4 linked regions of the Rhinolophus ferrumequinum genome follow. The protein of the gene in region 3 purifies or fractionates together with the protein of the main gene of each other region. This does not show direct contact. Links are inferred from orthologs where the notes say so. Each region holds a gene or a part of one and is shown on either strand. Other genes may lie near its edges. The genes, in order: ANAPC7, NEK2, CDC26 and ANAPC13.

Region 1 (7,300 bases), on a different chromosome or scaffold from region 3:
AGTGAGATAAAATGATTAGCCTTATTTGACAAAAGTTTTTTAAATTTTATATACAAAAGTAAACTTTACCGGCACTAGGAGAATTTTTATCTCTTTGAGTCTCAGGGGCTTCAGGATAGTATAATGGAACCAGTGTTTCAAAAGTTTGTCTTTAACCTTAAATGTTGCTCACAAGTGTTAATAACTGCCTAGAAGCTGGCTACCATTTTTAATAGGAAACTCACATTTCTAATCTCCAATCCCAACCCTCCACCTACTTCTTCCCAAGTTGAGTTTACATGTTTTTCTTTGATAGGTAAAAGCTACAGCTGCTTAATATGAAAGAACAGACAGTTAATTTCTCAACAAATGAAGGATACTCAAGAATGGTAGCGTAGATTAGAGGTTGCCAGGAACAGGGGAAGTGGGATCAGGAAGTGACTACAAATATATAAGGTGTTACTTTCTTCGAGTAATGAAAACATTTTGTAATAGACAATGGTGATAGGTGCACAACTCTTGTGAATACATTTAAAACCACAGAAATGTATTCTTTAAAAGGGTGAATTCCACAGTATGTGAATTTTATCTTAATAAAAAAAAAATCTTAAAAAAAGATAGGAACTCTAAACACTGCATAAAGTTACAAAGGAAATTCAAGGACTGAAAAGTTGAAAGGTATAGTCCAGATAGTTAAGATCTCTTCCAATTCTGAGATTCTTTGTATTTAATGAAAAATAAGATTTGATAGAAAAAGTTACTATACTCAGAGAAAGCACTCAGATATTTATATTGTAACACACGTCTATGTGTACAGCAAAAATTATCTCTGGAATGATGTAAGAAACTGTTAATAGCTCTTTGCTGGAGAAGGGAATTTCTGGAGAAGGGAAATGTCACAGTGAGGTTCAAGATTCAGGGACAGGTACGTATCTGCATACCCCTTCTGCTCTGTTTGAATTTTTTTACTGTGTTGTATTGCCAATTCAGTAAGAAAATTTTAAATATAAAGGTCAGAATTTAAATGCCTCCTGAAGCTAGGAAACTGCCAGTTAACCTAATATGAACAAATCAGAAGATCAAACTATCCTGTGACATCTAACTATCCTGTAACATCTAACTATCCTGTAACATCTTCAAGAACCAAGAATAACTGGTGCATACATTCCCAATGGTGGAAACTGTGTGCCTTGACAAATCACTCAGAACCAAGCGAAAGTCTCCAGAATAAACACAGAAGGCTGACAGAGACCAGGGCTCCTCCCTGTCAACACTAAGTGGATGGTGGCAAAATGATGAGTCGCACGTAGTGAGGTCCAAAAGCACACTAATGGAAATAAAATCGGGAGCAGCAGCGGCATCACAGGCACTTAAGGGGCCTTTCTTTTCTGACCTAGACAGCTTCAAGAGGATGCCAAATGCAAATGGGTAGAAGATTCGATTATAATGCTATTTAGAGGCAAGAGACTGTCGTAGGTCAGAATGGAGACCTTAGAGTCAAAGGGACCAAAATCCAGACATCGTGGCTCCTCCAATGACTAAATGTGTGGACTTGGACAGGGTATTTCCCCTCCCTGAGGTTGTATGCACTTCCTTAGCACATTCAATAAGCGTGAGGGCTTACTGCACACAGCCAGTGTGCTGACTTCATTCGGTGTTAAGAGTGGTGCAGAATATAGATCTTAAAAGCTCTCATCACAAGACAAAAACTTGTAACTATGTGTAGTGAGGGATGTTAACTAGACTTACTGTGGTGGTCATTTGGCAATATATACAAATATGGAACCATTCTGTTGTACACCTGAAACGAACGTAATGTTACATGTCAATGATATTTCGATTAAAAAAAAGTGATGCAGCATATAAAACAAGGCAAAGGGATAGACTAGTGAGGGTAAGGAGCCATTCTTACGGGCTATCGGAGTTGGAACCTGTAGGAGGAGGCAGGTCTGTGATAAGGACTCTAAGCAGAACAGCAAATGCAAAAGCCCTGAGTTGAGAATGAGCTTGGCACGTGTTCAAGTATCCGCAAGAAGAGCCACGGAGGCTGGAGAACAGTGAGCAGCGGACATGAGATTAAGTGGGGGAGAAAGATGTGTGGCTCCCTTGGCCATGGGAAAGAACCTGAAGCACAATGGAGAAATTGAAGCAGGGGAGCGACATGCACTCAAGGCTGGCAAGGGCCCTGTATTTCTTCCGTCATTAGACTCAATAAACGGCAGCTCTTAAAACATGAAAGGCGCACTGCAAGTCCTTCAAAAGGCGCCACTCCCACCCAATCAAGGGAATCTCCCGTTTTCTGGGGTTTGCTGAGGCGAGAAAAGGAACTACACTCAAGGCGGATAAAAATCAGTCTCGGATGTAGGACGAAGGTATAAAACCAGGGGACTGGCCTCTGAGCTTCGTCGAGGGAGAAAACGTTCCTCAGGAAGGAGCTGGGAAGGGAGAAGTCAGCCCAGTGATGTGACAGTCGCCGTGCTGGGTGACAGGTACCTCAGGAAACCCTACGCTCCCAACTTTCGGGAAACCCTCGCCAGGGAGGTCCTCAGAGCCTCCGCCTTCCATTTCTCCGAGCCGTCGCCGCACGACACATCTCCCGCAGCGAGTTCATCCCAGCGCCTGGCACAACGCGGGGACCCCATGAACTCAACTTGCGTTCCTAACTCAGCTCGGCTCGACGAGGCCTCGCTGACCCCGGAGCCTCAGCTGGGCTGGGGCCCGCGGCCGCTCCTTCCCGCCAGTCCCCAGGCCCCCTCAGCCCTCGCTCCCGAACAGGCGCTGCTTTCTCCTCAGCCCCAGGCCGCTCCCCGCCTCAACTCACGGGTTGTTATTACTCATTGTAAGTAACAAGCTGCTGAGGAGCCGCACGTTGGAGTGCAGCCCCGCGGCCGCCATGTCTCGTACGTGGTCTATCACATTCATCCTGCCGGGCAAAGCCGCAGGGAGCGGCAGTAGCGGCACGAAAAGCCGGTAAAATATCTTTAAGGAAGACTTCAAAATGGCGGCCTCGCCGGGGTCCATCGGGTCCATATGAGGCATCGCCCCCAGAAAAATAGGCAACTACTGAAGTGCCTGAGTAAATAAATAAAACTCAGTTCCCCAAGCCCTCGTGAGGTGAACTAATTTGTTGGGTTTTTTTTTTTTCTAGCAAAGCTATGTCGTTCTGAGTTGCAAATTTTATTGAGGACTTAAAAATACGATGGAGACAAAAGGCACCTCAGTATGAATACATGCTCAAAGGAAATGAGTATGAGAGGAATTTGTCTCTCCCAGGAATTAATAAAAATGTATGAACATTAATCATAAATAAAAGAACACAGTAGGTTGTATGTAGGGGGAAAGCCCCAATAGTTGTATTTGAATATTTTAATCAGGCGCCAGGGGCAGTCCTAACTGCTTTTACAGTCACGCTTGCGCACTAGGCTGAAGGCGCCACGCCCCCTCTTGTCAGGTATTGTACCTGCTGGAGTCAGGATTCGTTCAGCCTTTGGATAGCAGTCTTGGGTCTAAAAGGGAATATTTCTACCCTGTGAAATGATTTACTAGCTCAGAATGAATACTGGCTAGGTTGAGTTTTAGCCATCCTAACATGTGTTTTTTAATTTGTAATTCCCCAGTGACATGGTGTCGAGTATCTTCTCATGCTTATTTGCCTTCTGTATATCTTCTTTGGTGAGGAATCTGTTCAGATCTTTTTCTGATTTTTCAGTCAGGTTGTTTGTATTCTTATTGTTGAGTTTTATGGGTTCTTTGTATGTTTAATAATAGTCCTTTATCAGATATGTGTTTTGCAAATATTTTCTCCCAGCCTGTAGGTTGCCTTCTCATTCTCTGGGCCACCCCCTCATTTAGAAAAAAAAAAAAATGCTTTCAGTAATGATCATGAAATGAAATGACTAATAATGGCCAGAAAAGAAACAGACCGTGAAAATATTTATTAAACTTCATCTAAATAATAATGCTAGTACAATTTTTAATGCAAAGTAAAACCACTATTACAGTACAAAAAGGTAATGGATTAATACTTTTTAAATACATTAATGTATTGAGAAAGACTTATCCTACCTATTGGATTAGCAAGAAAATGAATAAAATACAGTTTCTGTTTTTGGTCCTTAAATTCTGCAAAATTGTCAGTGACTGTCAAAAGTCATTGTCTTTGTATATTCATGTTCAATTAGCACTATAAACAGATTTGTCAATTGTTGAAACACAGTCTTGGTGTTCCATGAAAAGACAGAAGACACTTAAATGCACGTTACTAAGTGAACGAAGCCAGTCTGAAAAGGCTACATACTGCATGATTCCAACTGTATGACATTCTGGAAAAGATGAAACTGGAGACAGTAAAAAGATCAGTGGTTGCCAGAGGTTAGAGGGGAGGGAGGAATCAGTGGAGCACAGGGGATTTTTATGAAAGTGAAACTATATACTATAATGGTGGATACATGTCATTATGTTTGTCAAAACTCATAGAATATACAACATGGAAACCTAACATAAACTATGGACTTTGGCTGGTAATGATATTTCAGTGTAAGTTCATCAGCTGTAACAAATGTACCACACTGGTGGTGGATGTTGACAGTGAGGGAGGCTGTGCATTTGTGACACAGCAGGGGCAATTGGGTATTTGGGAACTCTCTACTTTCCACTCAGTTTTGCTCTGAATCTAGAACTGCTAAAAAAAAAAGTGAAGAAAAAAGAGGGGTGTGTGTGTAAAAACTGACCTGTTCTGTGTGTCAAACATGCCAGATACACCACTGTATCTAACACACTTAGAACAATGTCTGGCACACAGTGAACACTATAAATGCTTGTTATACGTTTCTCTCCATTTGAAATATTTTATAGTTAAAATCACATTTAATAATAGCCAAAAATTGGAAACAATTCAAATGTTGACCAACTGATAACTATATAAACCAAATGTGGTATATCTGTACAGTGTAACCTATTCGGCACAAAAATAAAAAGAACTGCTGATAACATGGATGAATTTCAAAAATATTGTGCTGTGCTAAAAATAAAATCATGCTAGGTCAAAGAAACCAGACAGAAAAAGAATCATATAATCTCTGACTCCATTTATATTAAATATCCAGAAAAGACAGACCGACAGCAACAGAAAGATTTGTGGTTGCTTGGTGGTGAAGGTAGGAATTGGGAAGTGATTGCGGTTCCCAAAAGATCCCTCCTTTTGGGATTTGATGGAAATTTTCTAAAACTGGATTGTGATGATTGCTGCACAACTCTCTAAATTTACTAAGAAATAATTGAATAATACACTTAAAATGGGTGATTTTTATTTTATGTAAATTATACCTCAATGAAACAATTAAAAATAAACACACCTATAAACCACATGACAGTCACCAATTTACCCTCTCTACACGGCAGTGTAAAATATAGTTAGGTTCATATCTGGATTGACATCCTACTGCAAAGTCACATATCCTCCAGTCCTGGAATAAACCAACATTCATAGACTCGAGACATTTTTAGTTGAAATTGCCATACTTTCTAAAAAGTGATTGCTCTCTCCTCTAATCCCTCGATTCTCTGAATGGGAATTACAGTTTGGACAATTCATTTGATAACTAATGACCTCATGCCTTGTACATCTATCCACCGTATTTAAATCTGTGATTGTTAAATTTTCTCATCTCTGTGTAAACCCATCTCACAAGAGTAGGTGGGATGCTTCTTTGCATTCCTGAAGTGGGGAAGACTGGGGGAGAAGCATCTTGGAGTATAATGCTCCAAGATTTGGATACTTATCTGAATCTAAGGAAGATGCTGGGAAGACTAGCTGGGTATTTGAGTCTGGAATTCAGAGACGTCTAGAAGGAAGGTATGAATTTGGGAGTTTTCAGCATTCAGATGCCATTAAAAAAAACTTTATAAGAACAATTTCAAATATATTAAAAAATAGAGGTATTGGTATATTGAGTCCCCATAAACCATCACCCAACTTCAACAATTATCTATTCATGACCAATCCTGTTTCACAGAGCACCCCCCACCTTCCTCCTTACCCTTCAAATTATTTTGAAGCAAATTCCAACCATTATATAATTTTATTCATGAATATTTCAGTATTCTCTAAAAGAGAGACTCCTTGTTAAACAAAATGACAGTACCATGATCACATCTAACAACAATAATTCTTTATATCATCAAATATCTAGTCATGTCTAGTAATTGTTTGTGTATATTTTACTGTTGGTTTCTTTGAATCTGGATCCAAACAAGGTCCATTCTTGCAATTGGCTGATTATGTCTCTTAAAAATGTAGGTTCTTCCTCCCTTTCCTTTTTACCCTTGTAATTTAATTCTTGAAGAGTGAGATGGTGTTTAAACCCATGAGACTGGATAAGATCACCAAGAGGGTGAGTGTAGTTAAGAGAGTTTGAAGACTGGGGCAGTTGATAAACAGGTAAATGTGTAACAGCTGGTGAGGGGGAAGCCATGATTTGTAGTGTTTGCCAATTTTCATGGTGTAAATACTCTTACCATGGACAACTGCAAGCTGCCAACTGTAACAAAACAACTGTCAGACAAAATACCTTGGGATGTAATAATTGGCTCTCTAGGTGAGGACACAGTTAGCCCTAAGGCATCTCACTATTAAGAGGTCAGAGAGGAGAAACCAGCAAAAGAGGCTGAGAAGGAACAGCCAGTGAGGTGGGAAGAAAAGTAAGACAGTGGGGTTCTGGAAGACAAATGAAGAATATGGTTCCAAGAAGGTAGGAATAATCAATTACATATATATATATATATATATATATATATACACACACACACACATGTGTATATATGTGTGTATATATGTGTGTATATATACATATATACACACATATGTGTGTGTGTATCTATATATATATATGGCAACAGGTCAAACAAAATGAGAAATGGCCATTGGATTAGCACCATGACAGTCATTGGTGACCTTGACAAGAGCATTTTTGGTGGGGCAGTGAAGAGAGGATGGGGGAGACTAGTGTGCAACAGTACAGATAGATCATTCTTTTGAGGAGTTTTGCTGCAGAGCAGTGGTTCTCAATTGGGGGTGATTTTGCCCCCAGGAGACATTTGGCAATGTCTGGAGACTGGGGGTGGGGCTTGCTTTGCTACTGGCATCTAGGAGTAGAAACAAGGGATGTTGATAAACATCCTGTAATGCACAGGGCAGACCTGCACAATAAAGTGAAGTAGAAATTTAAAATTGTAAATTTAAATATCAAGTCCAAAACATCAAGATGTCAAGGTTGAAAAGCCCTGTTTTGCAGGGAAGGAGGAAATGGGTGGTATCAGGTGG
Region 2 (6,871 bases), on a different chromosome or scaffold from region 3:
GTTAAAATGCAGAGTCCAAAGCCAACAGGCACTACCTAGAGAGCCACAAACGGTTAATACCCTTTGACCCAACGATTTCATTTTGAGAGCTACACACAAAGGAAATAACAAAAACAAAAAAAAAAAGGAAGAATAATTCATACGGTGATGAATTTTGGAAACAAAATATCCAGCAATAGAGGAAATACAAAAGCAGGTGGACTCTTCAACTCCCTTGCAGGAAAAGGCAACAAAAAAAAGAACAAATACAAAAAGTTAACACTGTAAAAACATGTTATCTGAAGTTAGTGAGCCTCTTGATCCCTGAATCTCCATGAACAAGAATCATCTAGAAAGTCTGTTAAAATACAGAGTCCAAATTCACGGGCTTGGGGATTGAGGTCAAGGACCCTGCATTTTGAACAAATGCTCCAAATGAGTCCAATCTCCATGAACAAGAATCATCTAGAAAGTCTGTTAAAATACAGAGTCCAAATTCACGGGCTTGGGGATTGAGGTCAAGGACCCTGCATTTTGAACAAATGCTCCAAATGAGTCCAAGCTCCAAGCCGGGGTACAGGACCTATGGCATTTTGAGAAACACGACTCTTCAGGACAGAGACAAAATCTACTTCATCTTTGTAATCCCAGAACTTAGCACATGGTAGTCATTCAATAAATCATGACTTGAATTGCCGATACAGAGGCGTTTAATGGTCAGGTGGTCAATTTGGAAAAATGTAAATTTAAAATGAAACAGTATTATTAATTCTTGGCTATTGGATATTACTAAACACACGAATAATAATAATAAAAAAAACCACCTCACTTTTCCTGCATTTTAATGCTTATCATTAAGAGGTGTAAAAAGTATCTAAATTCTGAAATACTTACAGGAGACATGTAGTAAGGTGTGCCCACAAATGTCTTTGCAAAACTCGTATCATGGTTTAATATTCTAGCTAGCCCAAAGTCTCCAAGCTTAACATTTTGCTTGCCATCCAGGAAAACGTTGGCTGGTTTCAGATCCCGATGTAGCACTGTATGACCACCATCGCTTCGTCTATGACATTCCTTTAGGGCCAGAGTCAACTGAGTCATCACTCGAAGAACAAACTCTTCCTCCAAGTATTGTCTGAAACCAAAGAAGATATACAGTGTTTAACTTCTGAATAAAGCCATTACAAAGATGGGATCACGAGAATTATCTAGTTTTCGAAGTGTACAAATAGGGAAATAAATATCACACTCTGGTATGAAATACGGGTGTTGATGCACCAGAGATTTCCTAAAGTACTGCGGACCCACTACCATGTTTTCCCAAAAATAAGACCTAGCCAGACAATCAGCTCTAATGCATCTTTTGGAGCAAAAATTAATATAAGACCCAATCTTATTTTACTATAAGACCAGGTATAATATAATATAACATAATATAATAAATACCGGGTCTTATGTAAGACCAGGTCTAATATAATATAATACCGGGTCTTATATTAATTTTTGCTCCAAAAGACGCATTAGAGCTGATTGTCTAACGAGGTCTTATTTTGGGGGAAACAGGATAAATATAAGGACACTTTTCCACGTTACTAAGTACTTCCTCCCTAATCCTAAAACAGGATGCTTAACAGAAATGAAACCAGGCCCATTTTCAGCTTACTTTCAAAGATTAACTTACCTTTCCTTGGTTCCCTTTGTAATTACACTAGCCAGGTCCCCTCCTTCACAATATTCCATTACGATGTACAGTGTTGTGTTGGTTCGGTCAATAATACGATCATAGTAACGGACAATGTTTGGATGTTTCAGTTCACGAAGCAAATTCACTTCAGAAACAAGCATTTGTTTCTCAGCTTCTGTCATGGAGCCATAGTCAAGTTCTTTCCAAACCAATATCTGAAATAAGAATTTCCCAAGGGAAGAGTGAACTCCTTATACTCAAAAACAAAGAATGAAAGTTCCAAAATTTAAAATTTGCAAACATTATTTCTCTGGTAAATAGATCATGGTTATTAACATCTACTTTAGTTTGATAAACTTAAGGACACCCGATTTTATTTCCATAATCTTTCTCTAACTTTTAAGCAGTAAATAATGCAATGGGAGAGGGCGGAGGTGAGGCGCATTAGGCCTCCCCCAACTTCCTACCCTCACTTGCTTTGAGGGAGTTCAGAAAAAGGTACTCTGGTCAAAGGTGAGTCAGAGGCAGTCCAAATCCCGGCCAGTTCCAACCAGCCAAGCTTTTCCAGGGTGAGAAAGCTGAGTAAAGATCCCTCGGTCAGCAGCCAGGCAGTTTCCTCTCCATCGTTTTTTTCCTATGTAAGGTCAATGTACACACATGGGAAATATGGACCCAATACGCTAATAACGGATGTTTTAAAAGAGCTCTGATTGTCAAGACAGAAAGCTCCAGGTTCTGGTACCCCTTTCTCCTGTCCCAGAGTTCTACTCTTCTCTAAAAAATAGCTCAGGAGACCGCTACCTGTCACCAATGAAAAAAAAGCCTTTAGCAGGAAAAAGGAAGGAAATGGAAGAGAAAGGGGAAAAGAAGGAAAGACGCGGTCTCCCATCCCTTGAGCAACCCAGGACAGACACAGGTTTGGGGGAGATGGCTTACTCTTCCGGGCACCCAGCCTTGGAGACCCACAATCCCAGGCCTCTCGCTTCGGGGACAGAGGGCGCTCACCACAGGCTGGCGAAACCCCAGCAGGGGCGGAGACAGGGAAGGGCCCGCGCTCACCTTGCTGTCACTCTTCCTCCGGATCTTCTGGCAGCGACCGTAGGAGCCTGTGCCAATGGTGTGCAGCACCTCGTAGTCTTCCACCCGGGTCGGCATGGCCGGGCCCACCGCAGGACTCCAACAGATCGCGCCGCAGCCGCGGAGCTACGGCCACCGACTCGAAAGCACCCCCAAGATACACTGCCGACGGCCTCAGTCCCAAGCCCCGTTTAACCGTCGCGGGCCCTGGACTCGCAGTCTATTGGCCCACAGTGAGGAGGCTTCGCCTCTCTGATTGGCTAAGAAGAACACAACACCCTAAGCATCTTGGGAAGGCGTATCCCTAGGCAACCGCCTCGGCGTCTGTGTCGGCGTCCGCTTTCTACTCCTAGGAGGAAAGGGGCGGAGGTCGGTCAAAGGGAGGGCGGGAAAGAGAAAGCGGCAGCAAGGCAGTTTCTGCAACGCTGTCGCTCTGGCTGAAGTCGCCAAAATAACCGAAATCCAGAGACTTCTCAGACTTCTTTGCATACTGCCTCAACCAAATGCTTTCTGACTTTTGCACTCTGACCCCTCCAGTTCCTGTACTCTGCACGCGCCTTCTTCTTTCAGGTTCCTGTACCCTGAGCCTGATCGGGGTCACGCTGAAGACTTAGTGAGAGCTGAGTACGGTGATTAAACCTACAGTCCCTTGCTGAAGTGCTAACTATGACGTGGGACTGTGCCAACCCATTTATTTACATGTATAGTCTCGTTTATTCCTCAACACAAACTTGTAAAGCAGGAATTAGTATAATGAGGAGCACAGAAAGGTTAAATTATTTGCTTTAGGTCCAACAGCCAGGAAGAGAAGAATCAATGCAAAAACCTTGCATACTGGTATAGTAACGATTTAAAAGTTACGCATGACTTTGTGAAGGGCGCGGTCATCATACACAGACTATAGTTTGAACACCGAATTTAGAGGCTTGTTCAACATGCAGTGGATGTGTACAAACCCTCGGGAAAGAATATGGAAGTCCTCGATGTTGGGAATCTCCAGCAGAATATGATGGCTCTAAGGCAGACAGGTTTACCCTTAAGACTCCTAAAAAACAAAAACAAAAAAACAGACTACCAAATAGATTACCTGGGGTGCTGAATACATAATTAATTGACAATACTTCATTGAATGTAGCCTTTTCTGGGCACCCACAGAAACCAACATTTTCATCTGACCCAGCCAGGTGGAACAGTCCTATTTTTACCTGGGAGAACAGATAGAGAGGCCTCCATCCATTTCATGTGCATTACCGGAAAGTTAATAATTTGGTCATGCATAAATAGGTCAATTTTCTTTAAATATCTGTTCAGCATGGGATTGAAAGGAACTTGATTTTCTATTAATAAGAATTGCAAACCTCTTTATGTTAAAAATAAGAACTGAATATAACATAATGCACTGAATATAACATAATTGGAATTCCAGCCAGGAGAATTTTTAACGTGACATTCAAGGGCACTGTCTTATCCCAAGGGAATGGGACCAATTTAGGTTTCAAAAGTTATGTAAGGAGCTACGGTGGCTGTGTTAATTGGCATTATATTTTTTATTTTAGTACCTCTTAAAAATTGACATCCATGGAACTCTTTGGCTGGCCTGCCCCAAATCCTTCACCTTCTCTCTGGCCACTCTTTTGCTCTTATGCTTTGCCCCGATTCTCCAAACTTGACACACTTTCTCAGCCCACACCACCACCACCACTACCTTTGCACCTGATATTCCATTTGTCTGGAATACTTAGTCCACCTGACTCCCTTATCCACTCCCCCATCCTGTATCATGATCGTGTATGCCTAGAGGACGTAACTTGTCTTTCAAGATTCAATGCCAACTTTCTCTCTTGTGCTCTGGGAAGCCTCTTCTAGCACACTAGAACAAGCAATTCCTCCATCTATAGTGTTCACTATAGATAGTACAAAAATCAACCCTCAACTTGTTATTTTTCATTATATATTTCCATGGGTCTCACAGTAGCTCAACTCCAAGCTCCTCATAGCTAGCATAAGCCCTGTAATAAAGGTGTCATGCAATAAATCTTTGTTAAATGAAAATGTGAGAAAGCAGCTTATTAATCATTCAAGGATTTGGATGAAGCCCTCTAGTACTCATGTTTCAAACGTCCTCAGTGCTATGGCAGAGACTAAATATTGGGGAAAGGGTCATCCCAGGAATATGGAGAGTGGCTCCTAGGCTCATATGTTCATTCAACAAATATTTACTGAGCACTTACTATCGCCCAGTTTAATAAACACCCAGCATATAATTGATATGCTGGGTGTTCATTAAAAAAGAGACAGTGGGGCCATGATGACCATGATAAAGAAAAGAGTGACATAGGCATGGCATGACAAACACTAATGACTGGCCAGAGATAGCACATATCATTGGGTGGGAGTGAGGGGCAGGACAGCACAGCAGAAACCACTGGGCACCGTGGAGTGGAAAGAGACACTGGTGGCCGAGGAACACGAGGAGTCAATAGGGAACACTTTTACAGGAAACACCCCTTCCTGGGTCATTTACTCCCTCCATCCTTCATATTCCGCCCATTCTTTAAAGACAGCTCATGCCCAGCTTCTTCCCTGAAATTTTTTCTGACTGCCTTCAACCCACCGTGAGCTCCTACGAGAGCAATTATCTGTTCCTTACTCATTTAGAATGTGCCATACACTAATCTACATTACCAACTTCTCTTGTATATCTGACTGATTAAATAAAAAACTCAACCTTCAACAAATATAAGTTCCTCTTAAGTAACTAATGTATATGATTTTGTTGTTTGTTTTGTTCGCTGCAGCATATCTAGCACCTAAAACATGCCTGGAATGTAGTAGGCACTCAATTAGCATTTGTACCTTGAATGAATGAACAAATGAATGCACGAATGAATAAATGAAGCCATGCCTTATTCACTGCCCTCAGCGTCCCTTCTTATGTTATATTAAAGTCCCACTAGAGGGCTGTAAATAACTTCATAACAAACAAGAGGTTGGGACTGCCTCACCAGTTCACCCACAGAGGCCTGGCCTCATAAGAAACTTTGAGATTTTCATATTGAGCATTTCAAATCCCAGAGAAGACATTTTTTGTGTCTTGGAGCAATTTGAAGTCAGGGATTATGGAAATTCTTTAAAGAGCTTGATAAAGATTTCTAGAAAGGAAAAAAAGGAGAGATTCTTTGTTTATAGCAATCAGATGCTAAAAGATGTTTTAAAAAGGTGCATGACAGAGTACATGCTCAATAAATAACCATGTTCTAGAGGAGAGTATGAGATGTTATGGAGACTGGCCATAATAGCGACACAGCATTTCATATCAATAGAAGGACAAGACATCTGCAAACTAAGAGACAGCTTTGGATTTAGTGGCAGGCAGCTGATGGGAGAATATGATGAGAAGAAATTTATCTGTGAAACCAAATAGTGTTTAATTTTGAGCTTCATCATATTTTAAAGAGGGATAGTGCCAAACTAGCACCCAAGGGTACAAGTTAGGGGAAGGCTGACTTCTGCTCAATGCAAGGATACGCTTTCAGACAAAGAGAACCGTTCACACATTTTGCATGGTTTTTCATAATATTTGTGAATTCAGGACATTTTGCATAATATTTATGAATTCAGGACATTTGTTATCTCTAAGACTATTGATATTATAAATGGGTTAAGAAGACTGTTAACAGTAATTATGGGCGGTAAGTCTGTAGTATGTTTCTAAGGGACTAAAGGAGCTTTCAGAGAACAGTCCCAATTTCCCCTTTAGGAGCAGCACAGTGAAGTTGTAGGAGCGGTGGGTGTGAGGAGTAGGAACCCAGGTTCGTCTAGCTCTGTTCTGATGAGCTAGGTGACCTAGGGAATCCACTCGACCTCTCTGGGCCCTAGAAAATAAGAGTGTGGGAATAAATATGCCCCAAGAGGGGCAGAGTGAGAAAGGAGTTGGGAGGGGGTCCTGGAGGTTATACTGGGCAGGAGGGGGAAGAAAGGTCAGCAAACAGCATGGAAAGTGACCGATGAGGTAGGAGGCAATATGGAAATTATTGATAACCCAGAGTCTATAGAGGAGATGGTTTTAAGCACATGGCAGTGGCCACAGTGCCAGATGTTGCAGATGGAGCAAATAAGGTACGGGTAGAA
Region 3 (7,093 bases):
TGTGATTAAGGATCTTGAGATCCTGAATTATCTGAGTGGACCCTAAATGCCCTCAGATGTGTCCTGATAAGAGGGCAGAGAGAGATTTCACAGACACAAGAGAAGAAGGCAGTGTGATCATGGAGGCAGAGGTTTGAGATCCGGGGGCCAACAGAAGCTGGAAGAGTCAAGGAACAGATTCTCCTCTAGAGCCTCTGGAGGGGGCGTGGTCCTGCTGACACCTTGATTTTGGTCCAGTGATACTGATTTCAGATTTCTGGCCTACAGAACTGAAAGAATAAGTTTCTGTTGTCTTAAACCACCAAGTTTGTGGTAATTTGTTACAGCAGCCACAGGAAACTAATACATTAAATTGGAAATGCCTGTAAAGAATCTAAATAGAGATTTCAAGTAATCTGTTGGTATAAGAATCTGGAGTTCAAAAGAGTTATTGTTTTAAATATTCCTAAGTATTTGAAAGTTGTACTCCTACCTCTAGGTCCTTTCGAATGTTTTCAAACTCCTCAATATCATCAAGCTTCAGCTCCAGGCGGGTTGGTTTTCGTCGCAGCATGCTGAAATCAACACTAAGAGCCAGACCCAGTGAACTATTAGCTGTTAAAAATGGCAGAGAGGAGGAAAACCTGAAGGGGATAAATCTCAGCTACAAATATCAGATCAATTTGTAAGCACGCATGCTAAAATGAATGGCAAATAAAAGACTCATTTAGATTCACACATAGACTTCTAAGTCTTTACGTGTCTGAATATTATATTTTTATTACATGATGGAGATCCAAAACTCTGTAATTCCAAAAAACTGTTTCTTCAAGAATTTTAAGTATTTAAATAGCAAGCTGCCTATAAAAGAATTCTAGGCAACAATCACTTTAATCTCATGCTCCAGTCACATTCAAAGACATATTCTAGCTAAGAGAATAACACTAAAATATCACATCTTAATGTAGTACTATTAGTGGGAGAGCATACAAACCATTAAATTTGATCAACTCTACACGAGAATTGTAAGAGATTTGTGATCACTCCTGAATGCTAAAATCAGTTTACTAAATCTAGGGAAAACTCCCTCTAACTCACCAATTCACAGGGTTATCTTCAGGGTCAAAATAGGTCCTACATGTATGGGGCATTCATTAAACAAACACTTCTTGTGCTCCAGCTGCAGAGTTAAAACGCACAGTCACAGTCTGTGGGGAAAACAAACACGTAAACAGAAACCTGCATACAGTGTACTAAGAACTCTGGTGCAGGAAATGCAATGGCATCACACAGGCCCAATTCATTCTGGGCTGAGTGTGGGGGCAGACATGGAGGATTTCCTGGAGGAGATGATGTCTTGGTCGGCTTGGGAAGGGCAGGTAGGGAAAGGGGATTAAGGGCATACCAGGCAGAGAGAACAAAGATAAAAAGGGGCTCAAGAGTCCACACCAGTCTGAAAACGCAAGGTCATGCTTACGCTAACAAAAAACGTTTTTTGGAGGAAAAAAATATAACTCCCGCACTGAGTTTAAAATCTGTTGATGACATCTTTATATTCTCCACCAAATCCAGTAGAGTGTATCTATAATAACTAGGCAGTAAACGTTTTGTTGAATAAACCAGAGATCCAAATAAAGTGAAGTGAACTTTCCTTGAGCACTGTGGTATGCTTTTCCATTCCCATTCTTTACACTTTTATTTTAACACAGAAACCCTGTGAGGCTGGCAAAATTACCCGTTTTACAGGTGAAGCCAAAGCTGCTCGGTTTGGTTAATAAATGAAAATGATGTAAGTGAAAGCTCCTTTATTTATAGATATCAATTATTATTACATGTATCTAGGATGTAGCTAGGGGCTGAAATATAAAAAGAAAATGTTTCCCTCTCCCTCCCATGAAGCTTGGGATACCTACAGGTGGTATTATCAACCCAAAACACTAGCACATTACATTTCAAATCGCTTTATACTAAATCAGATACTATTTTGATTCCAATGTAGATAAATGATACTGGAAGCCAAAGTTCAGGGGAGGCGGAGATGTTTAAAAGAAAAACACTACTTTGCACTGTCTTATCTTTTCAGCAAACTGAAAAGCTTGTCACAAGGTAGCGATATAGGGTAAAGGTACTTGCTCTGGAGGCAAAGGGCAGAGGTTCTAATAATAATCTGTTTATTTTAAACAATTAGCTTCATCTTTCACAAGATCTTAGTTTCCGTATCTGTTATTGAAGTAAGTTCCTGGAATGTAATTTGGCATTCAGTAAATGCTCAATAAATAACAGCCATTATTATTATTTTAACTGTTCTTGTGGAGAGGCAGGAAACACCTCTGTCCAGCTCTGGGAATCACCAGTATTTTGAGCATCTCCACCCCCCGACATGAGGGCAAAAACCTCGTCTCGTTCGTTTCTGATGCTCCAGCACCCAGCGGACCACAGGGCCGTGGCAAAGTTGTTTGCGTGCATAACGGCTCACATCCATCATCTTACTCTAAATCTGATACGAAGACCAGGCTGAAGACAACAAAATCAGGCCGTGGCTCCTCCGCCCGGTCCTTATTTAACTTTGGCGCTAGAGGGCTCTTCGAGCTTAATCTCTAGCTGCTGCCCAAATTCACCCAGCTCAGAGGGGGCCCCCGGGAGAGAACCTCCCTACAGCGGAGAAGGAAAACAGCTCTCCCGCCGCAGCTCCAAGGTAGCGCTCACAGGTCTACCGCAAAGGTTTCCATAGCAACATAGTCCCAGCTCCAGGACGACGTAAAGCCTCTCGTAGGGCCGGGAGGGAGGGACAGCAGGCCCCGGAAGCCCTCCATTCGCTCCCGAGTTCAGCCCGGAGCCGCGCGACTCGATGCACCTACCTCTTTACAAGCCTGTTCAGCCCCTTCGCGGAACCTCAGTGCCCACCACGAATCTATGCCAACTGGACTACACTTCCCAGACTGCTCTGAGCCTCTCTCCCCGCAAGACCTCGACCTTCGCGTGCGTTTCTCGGAGGCTATACGAGTCACACCTCTCGACACGGCCACAGTCTTTCCTACTACGATTCCCAACATGCTCCACGCCTCCCCGGACGTTGAGTCCACTCGGCCCACTTCCGGTGGGTGACACAGTTCCGCTTTGCTGGGCGCGCGTTGGATTGTCTGAAACGTCGATTGCAGCTTTCGCTGGGACTTCGCGGCTCCGGAGCCCAGCATGTCTTCCTCACGAGCTACCTCCACGGTACAGATCTGAGCTCACCCTAGCGGGGAGCGCGGCGCGGGTGGGGGTCCCTGCGGAATGGGATGGATAAGGCGATGAGGGGCCGAGGAGGAAGGCTGCGAGACTCGGTCTTAGAGAGCCGAGCAGCGTTTTCCTGATGGAGCGCTTTCATGTGCTTAAGCTCAATTGCACGTCTCGTACTGACGCGAATGGTACACACCTCTTCCTACTGGTCCAGAAACGGAGCTCAAGGAAGTAGTGTCCTGGCCAAGATTTATGTCTGTGTCAGACCTCTTAACTGAAGTGAGGCCTCCAAACTACCTACCGGTGTCTAGTGCATCTCGTCTGAAAACGTTTGAAATGTAGAGGCCAGTAACTTGGTAACCTGCTCCCCTTCACACCGCGTTGGTTTTTTCAGTTATCCTTGATAGTTCCCTTGTGATGAGCAGTAACCCTGGAAGTTTCATAAAACCCAACAAGAAATTGCACTTCCAACCGATTGAATTGAATTAAATTCCAAAGCAAACCTTTGACAGAAAAATCACCAAGAGAAATTCAGGAATTTTATCAACCTCTTTCTGTCTGAGACACCGAACACCCCTACACCAATCCCCATCAGTGAAGACACATCTTAACTGGTGCCCTCCTTGTCCTTTCCTTTGGGGAGGAAATAGAATTAAAGTCAAGATGAGCTTCATCCTTTGGGGAAACCTAGCAAATTGCCAAGATTGAGCCTTAGGTTAATCCAGGTTTATGATTTAGCAGGCAGCCAAAACTAAGGCACCTGATGACCTAGTCGCGCCTCTGGTGAAAAAACCGCACATCTATTATGGAAGTTTGGAAGAGAAGGAGAGGGAACGTCTGGCCAAAGGAGAGTCTGGGATTTTGGGAAAAGAAGGACTTAAAGCAGGAATTGAAGCAGGAAATATCAACATAACCTCTGGTAAGATGCAAATTGTGAATCCATCTTTATCTTTGGTGCTCAGATTTTCTGCAATGAATATCTTCCTGGACAAATATCACTATTAATAACGTGTCAAAATTTTCAGTTTTTAAACTTACATCTGTATATGGCCATACTTTGCCTACTCTGCTTAGCATCGTCCAGAGAGCCTTTTGCTTAACACCTTTTAAAGAGTTTTTCCTTCCATGAATTGTTAGTGATTTTGCCAAGAGTTTATTCAGTGTGTATAGCTGACCCTTGAACAACACAGGTTTGAACTGTGCCAGGTCCACTTATATGCAGTGTTTTTTTTTTTCAATAAATACTGTAAATGTATTTTCTCTTGTGATTTTCTTAATAACATTTTCCTTCTCTAGACTATTACGAGAATACAGTACAAGTACATATAACATACAAAATATGTGTTAATCGACTGTTTATGTTATCGGTAAGGCTTCCAGTCAACAGTAGGCTATTAGTAGTTAAGATTTGTGGGAAGTCAAAAGTTCTATGCGGATTTTCAACTGCACGAGGGGTTCCCCCCACTATCCAACCCCACCTGGCTACGTTCAGTAGTCAACTATATTTGGACTCAAATTGATTCCATTTATCTTCTGGAGATCTAGCACAGCTCTGGCACTGGTTTGGAACTACTGTGGTTCATAATATTCTGTTTTTAGTTTCCCAATTATTTTTCTCCCAAAATGAAACATATTTTTTAAATTAAAAAAATATTAGTTATTTTTATTTTGAAAACTAATCAGTGTAGAAATGTGTGAAGTAGTAAAACCTTTCATCCTTATTACTTGGGTCTGTATCTTTCCAAGAATTTAATAAAGCTATAAAAATACATAATTGTTTTCCATAAAGGAAGCCATGATAGACAGATTGTTTTGTAACCTACATTTTTCATTCTGTACTATTAATGATATCTTTCCAAGTCAGTAACTATCATCCACTATATTTTTAAAATAAAATTATACATGTTTGTAATAAGAAATTCGAACAGTACAGAAGGGTATAAAATGAAAAGACTTCTCCGCAGAAAGGGCTTCTGTCAAATTTCTCATTGATCCTTCGACACTTTTTTTTTTCTATACACAAGCACTTTAATGGCTTTTTTTAACCTTTTATGCTTTTTTAAGCATAACTGCATCACCACTATACTTACCATTTTTCATACAAATGCTTGTATTTCGTGTGAGTTTTTTAACTGGCTGCTAGAGAATCCAAAAAGTCTTCTAGTCAATCAAGGAATATCATTTACATGGTAATTATTTGCAGCTTACTAGATTCATTTCTAAGTGTCCCCATAAGGGAACTGTTTTAGAGAATAGCTTTGTCAATTGTTAAAATTATGTTTCTGTTTCATCTTTTGCATAGAAAGCCTAGTTAACTCATTTGCTAATGATGCCCCATACTCCTTATTTTCTTATCTCATCTAAGCTGTGTGTTTGTTTATATAGGTATATATAGGTTTAAGATTGCCAGATGAAACAAGATGGCTTGAACCATTTTGCTGCCTTTTAAAGCTGTGTCATTTAGTTTTTTGTGTGTGGCGTAAGTTAATAAACTGAGAAACTAAGTGTATAATAGATTAGACAGTTAACTTTCACTAAGGGCATACGCAGACTCCAATTGTAAGAAATTATTTCTTTTTTTTAATTTTTTTATTTGAAGAAGATCTGGTGATTATGCTGATGTTGCCTGTTCTCTTTATAGGAGAAGTGTTTGAAATTGAAGAGCACATCAGTGAGCGACAGGCGGAAGTGTTAGCTGAGTTTGAGAGAAGGAAGCGAGCCCGGCAAATCAATGTTTCCACGGACGACTCAGAGGTCAAGGCTTGCCTTAGAGCCTTGGGAGAGCCCATCACACTTTTTGGAGAGGGTCCTGCTGAAAGAAGAGAAAGGTACCCTTTCTAAACATCTACTCTCTTCTTTTTTTTGATCACAGGGTTCTAGTTCCAAATTTATGTTGTTATTTGTAGCAAAAACTTTTAATAGAATGTCTCAGCTATTGTTAACAGAATATCTTTTAAGTTGTGTTTATATCAATCTGAGTCTTAGGCCAATTTTTACTCCACTACTAATTTTCCTTTATAAACTGCAAAGAGGGTGTTAACATGTTTCCTCTCCCCTTCCCAAAGTGTAATTTTGTAGTTGAACTTTGAAGATTTAGACAACAAATGCATTCCTTGTCAATGACATAAAACATAATGACAAGTGGTTTTTGGATATTACTGAAAAGGGGCATTGTCCTCAGATAATGCTCCGCTTGTGCTTTTAACGTTGCAAAGCTCTTGGTGACAGGCTAGTCATATGCAGTGATGAGGCCCTCTTCCTGTCTTTCTAGCCACTGTCCTACTCTCCCCATTATCATTTTTGTTTTCTTGGTTTGCATAGTCTGCGTGTTTAATCGCTTCAAAACCTTTAGCATTCTCTCATGTCCATTAAATAGAACCAACAATGCTTGGCCTGTTTAAATTACAGGGAATAAAAGTACCACTTCTCTTGTACTCCATACTTCAGCCACACTGAACTATTTGTGATTCCAAGCTCAACACACTTTTCTTACCTCCAGACCTTTACATCGTATTTTGAACCCTCTGCCTTAACAGTCCTCTCCCATTCTTGGCCTGTTGCCCCGACCAGATGATTACTCAGGTTAGGTAACACCTCTATGAAGCCTTCCCTGAACCTCCCTCCAAACCTAGGCTAGGTACTCCTTTTATGTTCCCCCTTAGTACCCTATACTTAACCACTGTCATAATACTTAGTATAATGTATTATGGTTCTCTGTTACTTTCTGTCCCCATTCCCCACCCCCCAACCCTGCTCTCTAGAACTCTGCTACTTGAAATCAAAAACTGTTTTCTTAGTCATTGTTGTATGTTAAGCACCTGAGTCAGTATCCAGCACATGTGGCATTGAGTGAAGGTTGGCTGTCTCCACAGACCGAGGGATAGCAATGTTT
Region 4 (6,923 bases), on a different chromosome or scaffold from region 3:
GTGTAGTCAACAGAAAATGGCTCAGAAGGCCTGGGTTCCAGACTTGGCATGACTCCTATCGGAGCTGGTCACAACAGCTCTTTGAACTATATTTATCTTCAAATAAAAAGTCTAGATGCTTCTAGAATTAGTGGACTTTACAGCTTTGATTTCTTTGCCCTACTAGTTTATCTGTCCGTTGACATCCTATCTCTACTAGGCCCCACCAGATCGTATCTTTTACCCATTATCCTCAGCACAAATTATAGCCTACCAGTGGTATCGCAACATCCTCGTAAGGCAGCTTATCTTCTCGCCAAGCATCGTCAATCAAATCCAGGATCCTTCCGTCTCTCTGTACCTCACTGTCCATTCTCCTGAAGCTTTAATCTTGTCAAATCTGTAAGCCAAAAAGGTAATTTCTTAAACAAGACTGAGGAGATGATGTAATCAGCCCTAGGATTCCCCAGGCTTTTTAGCTTGGATGTGTCTTTTGGCATAATATCACCCTGGGGAAGATCCATCTTCTCATCTGGGTCAGATGACGACTTATTTATAAGATCACAGTTCCTCCCCTCCTACCCCAGCTGACGATGGACAGACATCAGACATAGCCCAGTGGACAAACCAGTCATAGTATGACAAAAAGAGAATATATTTGAGGGCCTCCTTTACGAGGCCACAACACGTCTAGAATGCAGCTTTTCTCTCCTAACTTGCACATTCACCTTGTCCTGTTCAGGATGCCTTTGATGAATCCTTGACTCATTCATAATCAAGTCTCCTTTCTGGCCCCTCTACCCTTTCCTGCACCATTTTCACAAAAGTCTCCACCCGCCTTAGCTCTAACCTTGGCATTCTTTGGCACGGGAGCTAAATGAAGCACAGGATCATAGTGAGATCCCCACTGAACTGGGTTATACAAAGTGAACAGCCACAGACCTGCAGAAATCCTCAGCTGAACTTGTGAAGGAAATGGCCTTTCTTGAGATGGTGCCCAGGCTGAGCCCTGAAAGGAGCACCTCCAGGTGAACCACAGTGGGAAGACCCCATGCTGCTGGTTTCTTCTTCCCTTTGGGATTCCTTCCTCTGATTCTTAACGCTGTGCCCCCTTTCATGCCTGGCCCAAGTGGTCAAGATGCTTACTTAGCTCTCGGCCGACTCCCCACTTTTTTTCTTGAACACCAATAGCCAGCTTGGAAAATACCTCTAGACTCTGTTTCCAAGTGTGGACTCTGCTTCTTCATCACAGATATCACTCTCCTGTGCTCCCTGCTACAAAGCAGCCATCCTAATGGTCTGGAATTCAGTGGCACCAAAGGCACTTGAGTCACGCCCACTTCTGAGACTGTGAAGACTTATACCAGAAAATAGTCTTTGGGGGTGAAACCCAACTCTTTCGTATAGGCCTGTGCTTTTCCCCAACAAAATGACTTCAAGATAGCTCTACTACTTGGGTAATAATGATAGGCTTTTCCCCCCATGATAAGAATCCAGGCAAAACTGAAACATGCCCAGCTTCTATGCCACCAGTGAACCAGATGACGTCTTAACGTTTCACTACTAATTCTTAGTATTACGAGAATTAATCCAGTACTACTAAGTGGATAACTCACAACAAGCTGAAGAATCCTGTCTTCAGGAAATGTACACACCAGGGGTCCTTTCAGTTCCAGTTATATTTTTGGAGACCCTGTCATACACAAGCCCTCCTTTTTCTCTGCCGCCACTCCTTTGTCCTGGATGCTCTGACCTCTGGGATGCCCTCCTTCCTTTCCTCTGATCAAAACCTGCTGATTTCCCCAGGCCCACACAAGTTCCACCTTTTCTGTAGTTTTCTCAAATCACTCCAGCTTCAGCAGGCATTCTGCCCTCGAATGCTTCCTTCTTGTCCTTATGACCCACTAGTTGGGTCAGCCTTGTGACAGACTGCTCAGCTATGTCTCCAATTGTTAGGTGTCCATTTTCCATCAATGACTCCTTAATCCATTTTCCCCCAATTTGGCCTCAATCTGTTTTCACCTGTTCCTCTTCCAAACATCTCTAGCCCTATCATACTTGCCACCCTTTGCACTTAAAAAAAAGCCTCTTTCCCCCGTGTACTTTTCCTTCCAAACTCAACGTGGGCGTCACATCATCAGGGTCAACTCCCCATTTCCCGAGTGGTGTCTTCACTCGTAAGGGGCTGGAAGAGTGGAAAGCATCAAGAGAGGCAAAGTCCAGGACACGGCCACTGTCACAAGCATTTGCTACACTCGACAGCATTCACCACTATCAGTTTCGTGAACAAACTTTTCTTACACGTGTGATGGCCCCAATGCCTGGAATGCTCTTTCCCCTTTATGTCCCAGATAATCCCTGTCGGTCTGAAAAACTTGGTTCCCGGGTCACCTCCTCCTATAGGAGGCTATTCAGGTCCCCTAGTTCCCTGGGAATAGCGAATGATCCCGACTGGGAGCTTGTCACACTGGCTGTTTCTTGCTTTCCAGACAGGCGGCGCGTGCGTTCCTTGGGGCAGGGGCACGTTTTATTCCTCTGTGCTTCAGAATTTTGTAAATACACAACTACATGATCAACGCAGACGGCTTCCCCCCCCCTTTGGCTAAAAATGACCCTCGCAGGCCACCACCATCCGTACAGGAGTGTGAGCCCGCCTCACAGCCCCGACTTCCGGCTCGAGGCTGGATATACCAAGTGTGGAAGCGGGGGAGGTCTAGGTCCAGGCCCGCCACCCAAGTTTCTTTCCACTCGATCCAGTGAGCGGTAAGGGCAGTGATGGGGCTGAAATGAAGACATCGGCCTCGGTCGCAGGCAGTGCGACGCTGAGGAACGAACGCGTTCTCGCCCTGCAGAACCTAGGCTAGGGGCGCGGGAAACCCTTACCAGCACCCGACCCAGCGCAGCACCCGCGGCCACCGGAGCCCACCCTCGGCACCACGTGACCCGCACTTCTTTTTGCTCCGATCCCCGGATGTGGGTGAGCCCATTTGCTTGGGCGGAGGGGAGGTGAGGCAGGACGTTTGTTGCCATTAAAAGGGAGGGAGCAGGGGGCGGAACGAACGTGTCGACGACAGATGCTGGACGTCAGGTTGACGGTGACGCGCGCGCGCCCCCGCCGGAGGTAACGGCGGGAAAGCTCGGGGGCGCGCGCGCGCGGGAGCGCCCTAACCTCATGTGCGCACGGAGGACGGGCGAGGGGCGGGCCTGTACTATTCCTGGGGCAGGCTTGGCCGCGGCGGCTGTGGTGCTGTCCGCCGCGCGGCCCAAAGGCTCGGGGCTGGCTTCCGCAGCAGCCCGCCAGCCGCCAGGCCCGCCCCCGCCGGCCCAGGCCAGCTCCGGCGCCCCGCCCTTCGGCCTCGTCGCCCACACCCTGCGGGCCCGCGAAGGCGGATATGGCCTTCCCGGGCGTGCCGTCGGGCCAGCCAGGTGGTCAGCCCTTCCCTGCGGCCGGGCCAGCGGGAGGGCGGCGGGTGGCCAGTTTTCTCTTCGGGGGAGGGACCTCCGGCTCAGCCCTCCCGCTCAGCCTGTCGTTTCTGGTTAACTTGCTACCGTAGCTTTGTTGTGACTTAAGCCATCCACGGCGGGTGATGCCCGTTCATTTATGGTGGGAAGTTTAGCAGTTTAAACAGTGAGTTGGCTTAAAAACAACGTTGACACAGGAGAAATGGAAATGTGGCAGAAATCGTGAAGGATTGAAGTTGGGGCACCTCTGCCTTACAGATTGCTCCATAGAAATCAGGGATCGGAAACAAGTGGTAGAGCCATGGTTTAAAAAGTGACAGTTCCTTACGAACACTAACCATGAAGATATTTGAAGACAGTATAGATAGGCTCATAATATGGTTTTTCTTATGTCCCCTTACAACGTCGGAGAGTGAAGATGAGTGTGCTGTCAGTGACTAGTCTTCATTTATAGTTACAGTACGTTTATTTGCACAGAGTAGTCTTTCTTGAGCCTTACATTTGATTCCTTAAACCTTAAGTCTTAAAAAAATTATTCTTTTAATAAAGCAGTATTGTGGGGTAGGTATCCTGTAGTTACACAGTTCTCCACATGCTTGCTTTTTATTTTATAGATAGGAGGAAATCATACAAGGATCAACAACACATTACTTTCAGGTGTTTCCATTTAGAGTCATCATAGTTGTAACTTAATGATAAAATGAAGTGTATTATTTTCTTACTTGGAATGCGGTATCATCTTTAAATTGACTTTTGTCCTGAGCTGCTTGTCCTTTCACGATATCATTATCAATGATCAATATAGTACGACTGAAAGTTAAATGTGTTAAGAGATTTATAAACATTCAGAGAGTTACACTGTCCTTTAAAATGTATGTAGAGTTAGCTTTTAAAAATTATTTGTAATAATTATGTATGTTAATTGTATCGATACACCATTTACCTCCCATTAAAAGGTAGAAGACCTTTGCTTGGTCCTTCCTGTTCTCATTTATGTAGTAGAGGTGGCACATGTTGACTGCATCAGCAGTCCACTATCAGAGCTTCCTATTTTTTAAAAAAATGTCAGCTTGGTTTGAAAGTTGAAGCCAACATTTACATAGGTTTCAGAAACTGAATTTTTGATTTTTATGTTTAGTTAGGGTTGTTTTTTCTCTACGAGGTAAGTTTGTTTTTTTTCACCTCTACAAAACCACAGTACTGCCATCCACCTATGAAAATTAATAAATATTCCATAATGTCAGTATTCAGCCTGGGTTCAGACTTCCCCGCTGTCCCTTAATGTCTTTTTACAATTAGCTTCTTGGATAAAAATCCTGTTCAGATTCATGTATTGCATTTGGTTAATGCACCTTTTAAATCTTTTGAGATATAGTAGTTCCCTTGCCTGCCTTTCCCCCCTCAGCATTCTACATTTAGCTGATTTTATCCCTATGGTATTCTTCCCCATGTGTATCTATTTCCTTTAAACCAGTAGTTAGATCTAGAATTGCACTATCCATTATAGCAGCCACCAGCCAGCTGTGGCTATTGAAATGAATTAAAATGAAAGAAAACAAAAAATTCAGTTCTTTAGTCGCATTGGCCGTGTTTCAAATGCCAAATAGTCACAGGTACCTCGTAGCTACCGTTCGGTGTAGATATAAAACATTTCCATAACTGCAGAAAATTCTGTTGAACAGCACTGATCTAGAAGCTTGATCAGATTCAATGTTGATTTTTTTTTTTTTGGTGGAGGTGGGCAAGAATATTTCCCAGATGGTGCAGTACACTTCCTGTTGCATTGATTATCAGAGAGGCACACAATGTATGAATTGTTCCTCTTTTTGTGATATGAAGATTGAGCAGTGTACTGATCCATCCATCATGAATTTCCCCTTGAGCATTGCACTTAATGGTGAAATCTTTTCATGGATTTAGATTGCCTATATCTATTGTTCCTTTAGGGGTTGCAATATGGTGATTTTCTAATTTCGTCATTCCTTTAGTATTTATTAGCTGGAAATCTTTCAGGAAGAGCTTCCTCCCACCAGCTACTTGACTGTCATCAGCTATTTGAAATACTGGAGGGCAAGAAAAATGCTTAATTCTTTCCCTCTATTTTCAGACTGCGGTAATGAGTTGGTGGCCTAACAACCTCCAAAGGTAACCGTGAGGTTTTTGCCTTTTTTAAAAACCAAAACGGTTTTTGCCTTTTTAAAAAAATCATCATGAACTTATAAGCTTGAAAATATTGAAACTGTTTCCACCTATTGCAGTTTTTTTTTTTTTTTTTTGATTCTCGAATTGTCCTGTCTTTGGCCAGTGGCAGCAGCCCCTTTAAGTTGACTCCTGTCCACTTTGATATGACAAGTAGTCTTTGATAATGTCTTCATTTGCTGATTAAACATGTTCCTGCCTCATTTATACATTTCTGGCCAACAACCCTGGTTCCTTTGAGTTGGAGATGGTATTTAGAGACCACAGCCTGAGAACTGTGCTCTTACTGCTAGGTTGGGCATTAGTTGTAGGATTTACAGTGATCAGAGTTAGGAAATACATTTTCTAAGAGAGAAATGTACAGAATTTACACTATTTCCAATTTAATTTTGATTTTATAGGGTTTTTTTTGCATATATGATTTTATATTTATATCTTTTTCTCTTGCTGAAAACATTGATTCCTAATGTCATTAACATAATTACTTTTTTCTTATCCTATGTTATATATAACTTTGAAATTAACAATATCAGTTTTATTAATAACAATATGATTCCTGAATAGTGTTTAGGATTTCTTTGTTCTTTTTTATCCTTAGTATGTACCCCCTTTAGGATATATACAGTAAAATTATTGCATTTTAAAGGCCTATGAAACAATTTGCTCTATGGTTAGGCTGCCAACTTGATGTCTAGTGTTAGGCACAGCCGGAGGAATGAGTGCAGGAGACCAAGATTGGTCCTATTAGAATTGATTTGGCGTGTTTGAGCTGAGGGAGGTCCGTCTAGAAAAGACCATAACCTCCCCGAGCAAAGAGGGGTATGGAGTTTTATAGGAGGGGGTGAGCGAGGCTGTTCCCCCTTCAATGCTTCAGGGGGTTTTTGTTGACAAAGGGTTTCAGGGCATGACGAAGTCCTCCAGCTCACACCCTGGCCCCAGGTTGCATCGGGACAGCCCAGGCCTGCCCAGGCGCCTAGGAGATAAAGCAAGACAGAATCATGACAAGATGGCTTTTAATATGAGGTTTCTGCTCCTGGCCTAAATATGGCTTAACGTCTAGTTGATACTTGATTTATTTCATTTTATTTTCACTTTATTTATTTACTGCTTTTCTTTTTTTCATTTGGATTTTTTTTTTAAATTTTTTTTGGGATTATTGGGGAACAGTGTATTTCTCCAGGGCCCATCTGCTCCAAGTCGTCCTTTAATCTAGTTGTGGAAGGTGCAGCTCAGCAACAAGTCCAGTCGCCATTTTCAACCTTTGATTTTATATTTGTATCCAA

Evidence for each region.
Region 1: the proteins of CDC26 (region 3) and ANAPC7 purify together in Homo sapiens (affinity purification with mass spectrometry; 5 studies listed by BioGRID and IntAct, with this or other methods). This does not show direct contact. The link is inferred for Rhinolophus ferrumequinum from reciprocal best matches to the Homo sapiens genes CDC26 and ANAPC7.
Region 2: the proteins of CDC26 (region 3) and NEK2 purify together in Homo sapiens (affinity purification with mass spectrometry; 3 studies listed by BioGRID and IntAct, with this or other methods). This does not show direct contact. The link is inferred for Rhinolophus ferrumequinum from reciprocal best matches to the Homo sapiens genes CDC26 and NEK2.
Region 4: the proteins of CDC26 (region 3) and ANAPC13 purify together in Homo sapiens (affinity purification with mass spectrometry; 4 studies listed by BioGRID and IntAct, counting the BioPlex papers as one, with this or other methods). This does not show direct contact. The link is inferred for Rhinolophus ferrumequinum from reciprocal best matches to the Homo sapiens genes CDC26 and ANAPC13.

What each region holds. Positions count from the first base shown.
Region 1 is NC_046308.1:6,116,796-6,124,095, forward strand, and holds the start of ANAPC7 (anaphase-promoting complex subunit 7), read right to left. Parts: upstream 3,020-7,300; 5' UTR 3,019-3,019; coding exon 2,801-3,018; intron 1-2,800. UniProt on the Homo sapiens protein: Component of the anaphase promoting complex/cyclosome (APC/C), a cell cycle-regulated E3 ubiquitin ligase that controls progression through mitosis and the G1 phase of the cell cycle.
Region 2 is NC_046305.1:20,398,143-20,405,013, reverse strand, and holds the start of NEK2 (serine/threonine-protein kinase Nek2), read right to left. Parts: upstream 3,010-6,871; 5' UTR 2,819-3,009; coding exon 2,723-2,818; intron 1,879-2,722; coding exon 1,661-1,878; intron 1,115-1,660; coding exon 874-1,114; intron 1-873. UniProt on the Homo sapiens protein: Protein kinase which is involved in the control of centrosome separation and bipolar spindle formation in mitotic cells and chromatin condensation in meiotic cells.
Region 3 is NC_046295.1:65,171,772-65,178,864, forward strand, and holds the start of CDC26 (anaphase-promoting complex subunit CDC26), read right to left. Parts: upstream 3,019-7,093; 5' UTR 2,838-3,018; intron 1,188-2,837; exon of another isoform or gene 1,160-1,187; 5' UTR 1,131-1,159; coding exon 1,078-1,130; intron 624-1,077; coding exon 473-623; intron 1-472. Other genes in the region: PRPF4 (U4/U6 small nuclear ribonucleoprotein Prp4), read left to right, coding at 3,172-3,198, 3,940-4,120, 5,843-6,029. UniProt on the Homo sapiens protein: Component of the anaphase promoting complex/cyclosome (APC/C), a cell cycle-regulated E3 ubiquitin ligase that controls progression through mitosis and the G1 phase of the cell cycle.
Region 4 is NC_046300.1:34,593,083-34,600,005, forward strand, and holds the start of ANAPC13 (anaphase-promoting complex subunit 13), read right to left. Parts: upstream 3,001-6,923; 5' UTR 2,986-3,000; coding exon of another isoform or gene 2,951-2,985; 5' UTR 2,863-2,950; exon of another isoform or gene 2,822-2,862; intron 2,793-2,821; exon of another isoform or gene 2,671-2,792; intron 2,658-2,670; exon of another isoform or gene 2,249-2,657; intron 2,217-2,248; exon of another isoform or gene 1,187-2,216; intron 1,022-1,186; exon of another isoform or gene 922-1,021; intron 380-921; 5' UTR 353-379; coding exon 254-352; intron 1-253. Other genes in the region: CEP63 (centrosomal protein of 63 kDa), read left to right, coding at 3,054-3,100. UniProt on the Homo sapiens protein: Component of the anaphase promoting complex/cyclosome (APC/C), a cell cycle-regulated E3 ubiquitin ligase that controls progression through mitosis and the G1 phase of the cell cycle.